2 linked regions of the Coturnix japonica genome follow. Each later gene encodes a partner of the first gene's protein in a complex. Links are inferred from orthologs where the notes say so. Each region holds a gene or a part of one and is shown in the gene's direction. Other genes may lie near its edges.

Region 1 (3,648 bases):
CTTCTTCTTATAGAGAACTAAATCGAGTGGTTTTGAGATGTTTTACAACACAGCTTGCAAAATAGGAAGTCTGATAATTGCCAAACAGAGGAGCTGAGACAAGTTTAAAGTCTTTCATTTGACTTGAAATGCATGTTCTAAACAAGAGCTCTGAGCATGTGGGAGGAGAGGAGCTAAGGAATGACCTCCATCGCTTTGTTAGCCACCCACATCCATGTGAAGCATGGAAGTGCTGTCTGTTTGACACACTACTGTACATTTTGCCTTCAGGTTTTTACCAGCTCTCCTGACCGCAGTGCTGACAAACCACCTGGCCTGGGTCCCCACGGTGATGCCCAATGGACAGCCGCCTATACGGATCTTCCTGGAAAAGCATTCTTCCCAGAGTGTGGACATGCTGGCCAAAACTCACCCATACAACCCGCTGTGGGCACAGCTCGGTACGTGGCAAATACCTTTAAACTATGTGAAGGAGTACAACTGGTGGTATTCATGGATGTGTGGTACATCCCCCCATCCAAGCTGAAATTATCTGTTTCTTTTCCTACTCAAAACTAAAGCGTGTATTTCAGGCTCAGAGATATTCACTGCATTTATTTATTTTTTTTCTTTTTTCATGTGCTATAATTTCTTAAGGCAGTATCAATTGTAAAATGGCAGCCAAAAAGTCATCTGTGACAAATCTCCTGCCCTGGTGATGATGGAGGATTCTGTTCCTTCTCTTGTCCCGCCTCTGTAAAGAAACTCCATTTTGATTTATTTGGGATGCTGCTATCGATAAGCTTGATTCTAGAAAAAGCACATTTAGAAAAATCCATCTTTTGGTGAGAAATGGAGATACCATGAGCACAACGGGCAAAGGAGTGACACAGTACAGGAAATCAGGACCTGGGTAAGGTCTCAAAGCCCAGCTGATTGAGTTGTGTTGTCTTTAATTGCTGAGTAGAGAAGAAAGGATGATATTCTTGCTCTCTAGGCAGGTTGTCTCGCTCTGCACGCAAACTTCCACTTGGATGGGGAAGGGAAGGCTTTCTGAGGTTACCCTATTCCAGAACAGGCAGGGATGGCCAGGTTTTTGGCAAGGAGAATGATGGCAGAGCTGATGGGACTCAAGGGATCTCCTGTTGTTGCGCTGGCCTTCAGCGCCTCTCAGATCCCATGTCCCTTTTCCATGCTCTCATGCAGTGTCCTCATACCTCCAGAATAATATAGGTGAATCTGGAGACTGGTCTTCGAAGCTGCCAGAACAGCCCATCTGACCCATAGGAGAGCTCAGGGGGAGAGAAGAGAAGGTTGGCTTCGGCTGTGCACCTGCCACTGGCACTTTTTGCCTACATTCTTGGCATAGGTTTGTGTCCCCTTACGGCTTTCTTTTGGTAGGTAAAAGTTCAGCCCAGTTTCCAGGCTATCCAGGGTAATTCAGAGCAGATGCCTCCTCTCTCCCATGACTATATATGGAATATGGACCAGCGTCCAGAGCTTGGGACTGAAGTGAGGTGGTGCAAATACTCCCTATTATGTGAGATCAGATGTCCCCCTGGCCAGCGTGTCATCTTACTTATGATGCCAACAGCTTCGTTAGAAATTTCTGTATTGAAAACAGAATAACAGCATAGCTGTCCTCACTATTCTTCTGTTGTGGGCCTTGCCTTTGAAAGATGGCCACAACAGCTGCCTGTTAGAAGAGTTCATTTTGAAGATGCAAAATAATCGCCTTTTATTTCCTGTTCCAGGTGACCTGTATGGGGCCATTGGATCACCCGTGAGATTAGCCAAAACAGTTGTGGTTGGCAAAAGACACGATCTGGTACAGAGGCTGCTTTATTTCCTCACTTACTTCATCAGATGCTCGGAACTTCAGGAGACGCATCTGCTAGAAAATGGGGAAGATGAAGCCATAGTCATGCCTGGAACTGTTATAACTACCACGCTGGAGAAAGGAGAAGTAGAAGAATCAGAGTATGTGCTTGTCACAATGCACAAGAACAGGGGTAACTTGCTACCAAAGGAGTCTGAGGAAATGAGAACTCCTAACTGCAGCTGTAAAAACTGCAAATGCCCGATTTCTCTTGCACAAAACATAGAAGGTGTTTCACAGCAAGAGAGAGAAGACGCACAAAACACTCCTAAGGTGGAGCTGGAAACTTCTTCAGATGAGAGCAGAACTATTGTTCCTGATGATGGTCAGGAAGATGCTGCTGATGGTCGTCAACCCAGAACCTGTCAGGACACTAAACTAGAGAGCGTGGTGTGCACAGGGTCATCTTCACCAGAGAAACGTGTGTTGGCAGAATCTGGTTTGGAAGCAACAGCAAATGTGTGGAGGAATGAAGACGTGCTGGAAGCAGGCAGCCAGGCCATCGGTGCAACGAGGTCACCCGGGATAGCTGTGGAAAAGAAACCTCCAGATAAGCTCTTCTGTGACGCTTTTCCTTGCAGCGCTGCCGAAGCTCAGACAAAGGTGACTTTCCTCATCGGAGACTCCATGTCACCTGACTCAGACATAGAGCTCAGAAGCCAGGCAGTCGTGGAACAAATTGCCAGGCACCACAGCCCGCCAGCAGCGGAGGAAGGAGTGTCTGCTGATCAGAACTGTGAAGCTAAACAAACTGTTGAGGACCAAAATAGAGACTGTGGGACAGCTGAACCCTTTCCTCAAGTTGCTGGTGAGCATCAGAGCTGGAATGCAAACGCGTACAGCGCTGAGAGCATGAGTCTGTTTGATGACAATTTTACTGATGATGGCTCAGTTGAAACCCGGACTATTGATGATCTTCCAGGGCAAGCAGCTGCAGAGCTTCTCACTCACAATGGCGGTTTAGAGTTCTCTAAAAAGCTGTGTGCAAAGACTAGCAAAACACCCAGCGAATTTGGTAAATTTATGGACTCCGTGCGACAGGAGACCTACAAAAACTGCTTTGCTGAGCAGGACCAAAGAGAGAACATCTCTATTCGTGTCCCCCATGGGGACAGAGAAAACGCAGAGAAAAAGGTGGCCCCGGGAATTGATTGGGACATTCCAAGAAATGAGAGCTCAGACAGCGCCCTGGGTGACAGTGAAAGTGAGGACACAGGTCATGAGCTAACCAGACCGAGCAGTAACTACTATGGAGGAGAGCAGGAAGACTGGGCAGAAGAATATGAGATTCCTTTTCCTGGGTAAGTACCATTCAGCTGTAAGAGCCCAGAAAAGATGCAGCCTTTTCTCATGTCACATGTTTGGAGGAATGTAGGCTAACTTGGCATCGGCGATTGGAAAAGCGTCTCTGGAGCTCACTGGCTGTAAAAGAATATGGAGAGATCAGTGGTCTGGAAAAAGATATTCATTGTGTATTGTGATCTTGGCTTGTATCTTTTTTTTTTCCGTGATGAGCTGAGTTTAAACTGTTTATTTTCTTATAGAAAGCTCTTGAATGGAAGTAAGAGTAGATATGAGAAACATGAGGCTGCAACCTCTTCCTGAGCTGAATTTGGTGTTTTCTGTTGCACATCTCTCTGAAGCGCCTTTCTTGCAGGTCAAAGCTGGTTGAAGTGAACTCTGTCCAGCCCAGTATTGCCAATTTTGGACGCTCCTTACTCGGAGGTTACTGCTCATCGTACGTCCCCGACTTTGTTCTGCAAGGAATAGGAAGCGATGAAAAGCTGAGA
Region 2 (3,748 bases), on another chromosome or scaffold:
GTATCGAAAGTTTATCGAGATGACCGTCTCCGAAAGAAAGCAGACTCCATGTCCATGGAAAACTGCAAAGAACTCGAACGTTTGACCAGCCTCTATCGAGGAGGATGAACTGCTTTCGTATGCATCTCTCCTGTAAATTAAGAAGAGATTTAGTTTCACCGTGAATGCTGGAAAAGAGGGTGGATGTAAAACTCTACTGTGTAGCTGTTTCCAGAAACCTTAAGCTGAAATATCATGTAACGGCTTCTTTACCTACTGTGAAATATAGGTAACTTTAATTGTCTAGATTTTACTTCGAAGCTTCTGTGAATTCTTTCAGCAGAGAGAATAGCTTAGAAAGGATGCTATACTTGTAGAAACTTAGTCATAGTGGTTCTCCTCTAACATATTTGCCATGTAAATATCTGTGGAAAGAACATTTTGTGTATATACGAGTTAAATGACTTTCTATTTAAAACCTCAGAAGTTTAGTTCCATACAACATTTTGTCTCACCGATGGAATAAATAGAGTCTGGTTACATCACTCCAATTCAGATGTCGAGCGTGTGGAGTTGGAACGAGGATTTGTAATGTTTTATCTCTATGTAACATCTTCTAGGCCCGCCAGCTTAGAGGAACTGGGTATTTTTAAATATAACAGCATATATTCCTAATGGTCTGCTGGGCTGCGTTCATCTGGTGTAGCACAGCAGTCAGTTGTTGTGGTTATTTTAGTGTTTCTAAGCCATGCTGAGAAAACTGAAGGACTGCACTCAGCTCTTTGCCTGGTGACTGTTGTATGCAGGTTCTGTACTGACCATGGTAAGCATTGCATCTAGTGCTCGTGGCAGCTGTACTGACCATGGTAAGCATTGCTCTTAGTGCTCATGGCAGCTGTACTGACCATGGTAAGCATTGCTCTTAGTGCTCGTGGCAGCTGACGGTAGCTCTCTCATTTGGTATCCAGTGCTATAGTAAATCCATACGTATGGCTAACATGCATAGAGCTTCCTTAATTGTCACTGGGAAGACAGAAGAAAACGTGAAGGGAAAAAAAAAACAACAACTTATTTATTTTTTTCCTGGGAAACTTCCATTTTCCTGCTGTGTTTTGATTTGGAGATAGATCCTGATGGTGACTTGTCAATGGGCACCACAGGTGGAACAGAGACATCCAGCTGAGCCTTGTGCCTGTCAGTTCTTTGGCCGGTTGTTTCAGTGCTCACTGCTCGTGCTGCTGTGCTCAGAGCCGCGTCACTTGTTCAGGGCTGGAGGTAGAGGTGGTTGGGGTGTTGCAGGTCCGTTTATTTGGGCCTGAATGCTGCAGGATTGACGTGGAAATGATCAAACACACTGTGCGGCTCCTCCATCCAGCACCACGTACCTCAGTGAGTTACTCCGGACCCGCAGGTGGCGCTGTGTCCCGGCGCCGGGCGGTGCCGTCGCCCCGCTGCCGTCCCGCAGTGCGCACGCTCGGCAGCGCCGGGCCCAATGATCCGTGCCGAGTGAGGAGGCGCTTCGCGTCGTGTCAGCTGACGGGACTAAGGGAAGTGCGGCCGGGGCGGTCAGGTACGGCAGGGCCGCCAAGGGGGATCGGCCACAGCCCGCTCTGCTGCCGCGGCGGGGCGGGAGGAAGAGGCCCTGCCCGGCCCTGCCCTCCTCCGCTCCGTGTGCCGCCGCTGAGCGGGCGCCTCTCGTCCCGTAGGGCCGCCGAAGGGGCAGCAGCGCCGCGAGGCCTCCAGCCATGGCCGATGTAAGCGGGGCGGGGCGGTTGGGCTGCGGGGGGCCGGGATGCGCTGCGGGTCGTGTCACGGCGCTGTCTGTTCCCGCAGGACCTGAAGAGGTTCCTCTACAAGAAGCTGCCCAGGTAACAGTTGCTCCATTCGCATCTCCCCCTCCGCCTTGTGCCGCTCTGAGCCCGCCCTGCCGCTTCCTTTCACGTGCCTGCCCCGTGCGCGGCTGTTGGTGGCGGTGGGTCAGTAGATGAGTCATATGCAGCAGCTGTGCCCTTTGTAATTATCGCTTCCTTCTGCAGCGTCGAAGGTCTCCACGCTATTGTGGTGTCGGACAGAGACGGGGTGCCTGTCATCAAAGGTAACGGCAGTGTGCAGCATCCAGTGTGCAGCATCCAGCTGTGTGTGTGCTAATTCCTCCTGGGTTTGGTACCGTCATTTCTAGCCCATCTCAGTCCTCCTTCAGGATCCCTCTGCGGTGCAGGTGAACTGGTTTAAGCACAGCAAGGTTCGGTGTTGCTATTTGGTGGTGTTTCTTAGTGGTTCATAGTACTTATGCAGCCAGCTGGACATGCACATCTCCATCCGCCTCCCCTCTGGTGGCTGTTTGGCAGCAGTCAGTTCCCAGAGCGTGTCCCACAGCACTGTATGTGGGATGTGAACTGGAGTGCTGTGCTGTGGTCACAGGTCACCTGCAAGGCATTAAACAATCTGCTGCCCTTGAAGACTGTGCTTGTTGTGAAGGCACAGGCGATGTCTTATGTGTTTCTGACACCACGTAGCTTTTGGGTTTGTTTGTGATGCAGTCATTGATACCATGTTAAAGCAAAAACTTTCTTGTTCTGCCCCAGTTGCCAATGATAACGCACCAGAACACGCCCTACGACCCGGCTTTCTGTCCACGTTTGCCCTTGCAACGGATCAGGGCAGTAAGCTGGGACTTTCCAAGAACAAAAGCATCATCTGTTACTACAACACATACCAGGTGAGTGACCGCAGCCTGGGGCCGGAGCTCCTCGTGTGTTACCATGAGCATCATGGGAGAGAACATGGTGGAAACTCTGCTTGATTTCCACTTGGCTCTTGGTGCTTTAATTCCCTTGTTAAAGCTGGCTAAGCTACATTCTTGCGCTTTATTGAACTCTTAAATGCTTCTCAAGGCTGAGAAGGCTGGCGGGTTGAAGTTGGTCGAGTTTTCTGTGCAGCTGGCGACCAAGCACCAGCAGGTGGTGCTGCTGATGTGCCTTCAGACTGCCACGAAGGGCTTATGTTCTTTTTGCATAGGGTATTTGTTTATTACTAACACAGATAAACGAGCACGTGCAGCTCACTTAACAATTAATATTGCTGTTAGAAGGACTTCAAGGTAAGAAAACGCTGAAATATCTACTTGCCGTTCTTACAAGCTGGATATTTGCACTGTGAGTTTTTTGTTACCTACCCAGTGTCTGCTCATAAGCCTGCCTGCCCACTTGATACCTATATAAAGGAGCTTCCACAGAGCACTCAGCTTCCTGCACTGTGCTGCCAGCTTCATTAGCACGTTTATCTGTGGCACCCACTGTGTGTTGGCTGAGGGGTAAACTGCTTCTCTCTCTTGCAGGTGGTGCAGTTCAATCGCTTACCTTTGGTAGTGAGCTTCATTGCCAGCAGCAATGCTAATACCGGTACGTCTCCAGGTGGCTTTAAATGTTTGCAGTATTTTAAGCCCCGAATGTTTTAAATATTTGAAAGTAAATAGAGTTTTCTTCAAGGTGCATTAACTTTTCTCCTTAATGTGTCGGAATATACTGAAAAGTTGGGAGATGCACAGGTAAAGACCCATAGATTCTGGGTGACCTGCTGAGGTTATGATTCCATTAGAAATGCTATGGAAAACCATTCCTGAGACTTGGAAGCTTTTGTAAGAGTGCTTCTCTGGTTTGTTGTTTGATGGATGTTGCGTCTCTTGTCTCTTCCTAGGGCTGATTGTAAGTTTGGAGAAGGAGCTCACGCCCTTGTTTGAAGAACTAAGGCAGGTTGTTGAAGTTTCTTA

The links. The genes of interacting proteins can lie anywhere in the genome.
Region 2: FNIP1 (region 1) and LAMTOR3 share a complex: the UniProt entries of both Homo sapiens proteins name them as parts of the lysosomal folliculin complex. The link is inferred for Coturnix japonica from reciprocal best matches to the Homo sapiens genes FNIP1 and LAMTOR3.

Annotation. Positions count from the first base shown.
Region 1 is NC_029528.1:1,574,664-1,578,311, forward strand, and holds part of FNIP1 (folliculin-interacting protein 1), read left to right. Parts: intron 1-270; coding exon 271-440; intron 441-1,733; coding exon 1,734-3,159; intron 3,160-3,515; coding exon 3,516-3,648. UniProt on the Homo sapiens protein: Binding partner of the GTPase-activating protein FLCN: involved in the cellular response to amino acid availability by regulating the non-canonical mTORC1 signaling cascade controlling the MiT/TFE factors TFEB and TFE3.
Region 2 is NC_029519.1:54,082,834-54,086,581, reverse strand, and holds the start of LAMTOR3 (ragulator complex protein LAMTOR3), read left to right. Parts: upstream 1-1,435; 5' UTR 1,436-1,549; intron 1,550-1,685; 5' UTR 1,686-1,724; coding exon 1,725-1,733; intron 1,734-1,812; coding exon 1,813-1,847; intron 1,848-2,015; coding exon 2,016-2,074; intron 2,075-2,564; coding exon 2,565-2,698; intron 2,699-3,316; coding exon 3,317-3,380; intron 3,381-3,675; coding exon 3,676-3,748. Other genes in the region: DNAJB14 (dnaJ homolog subfamily B member 14), read left to right, coding at 1-108. UniProt on the Homo sapiens protein: As part of the Ragulator complex it is involved in amino acid sensing and activation of mTORC1, a signaling complex promoting cell growth in response to growth factors, energy levels, and amino acids.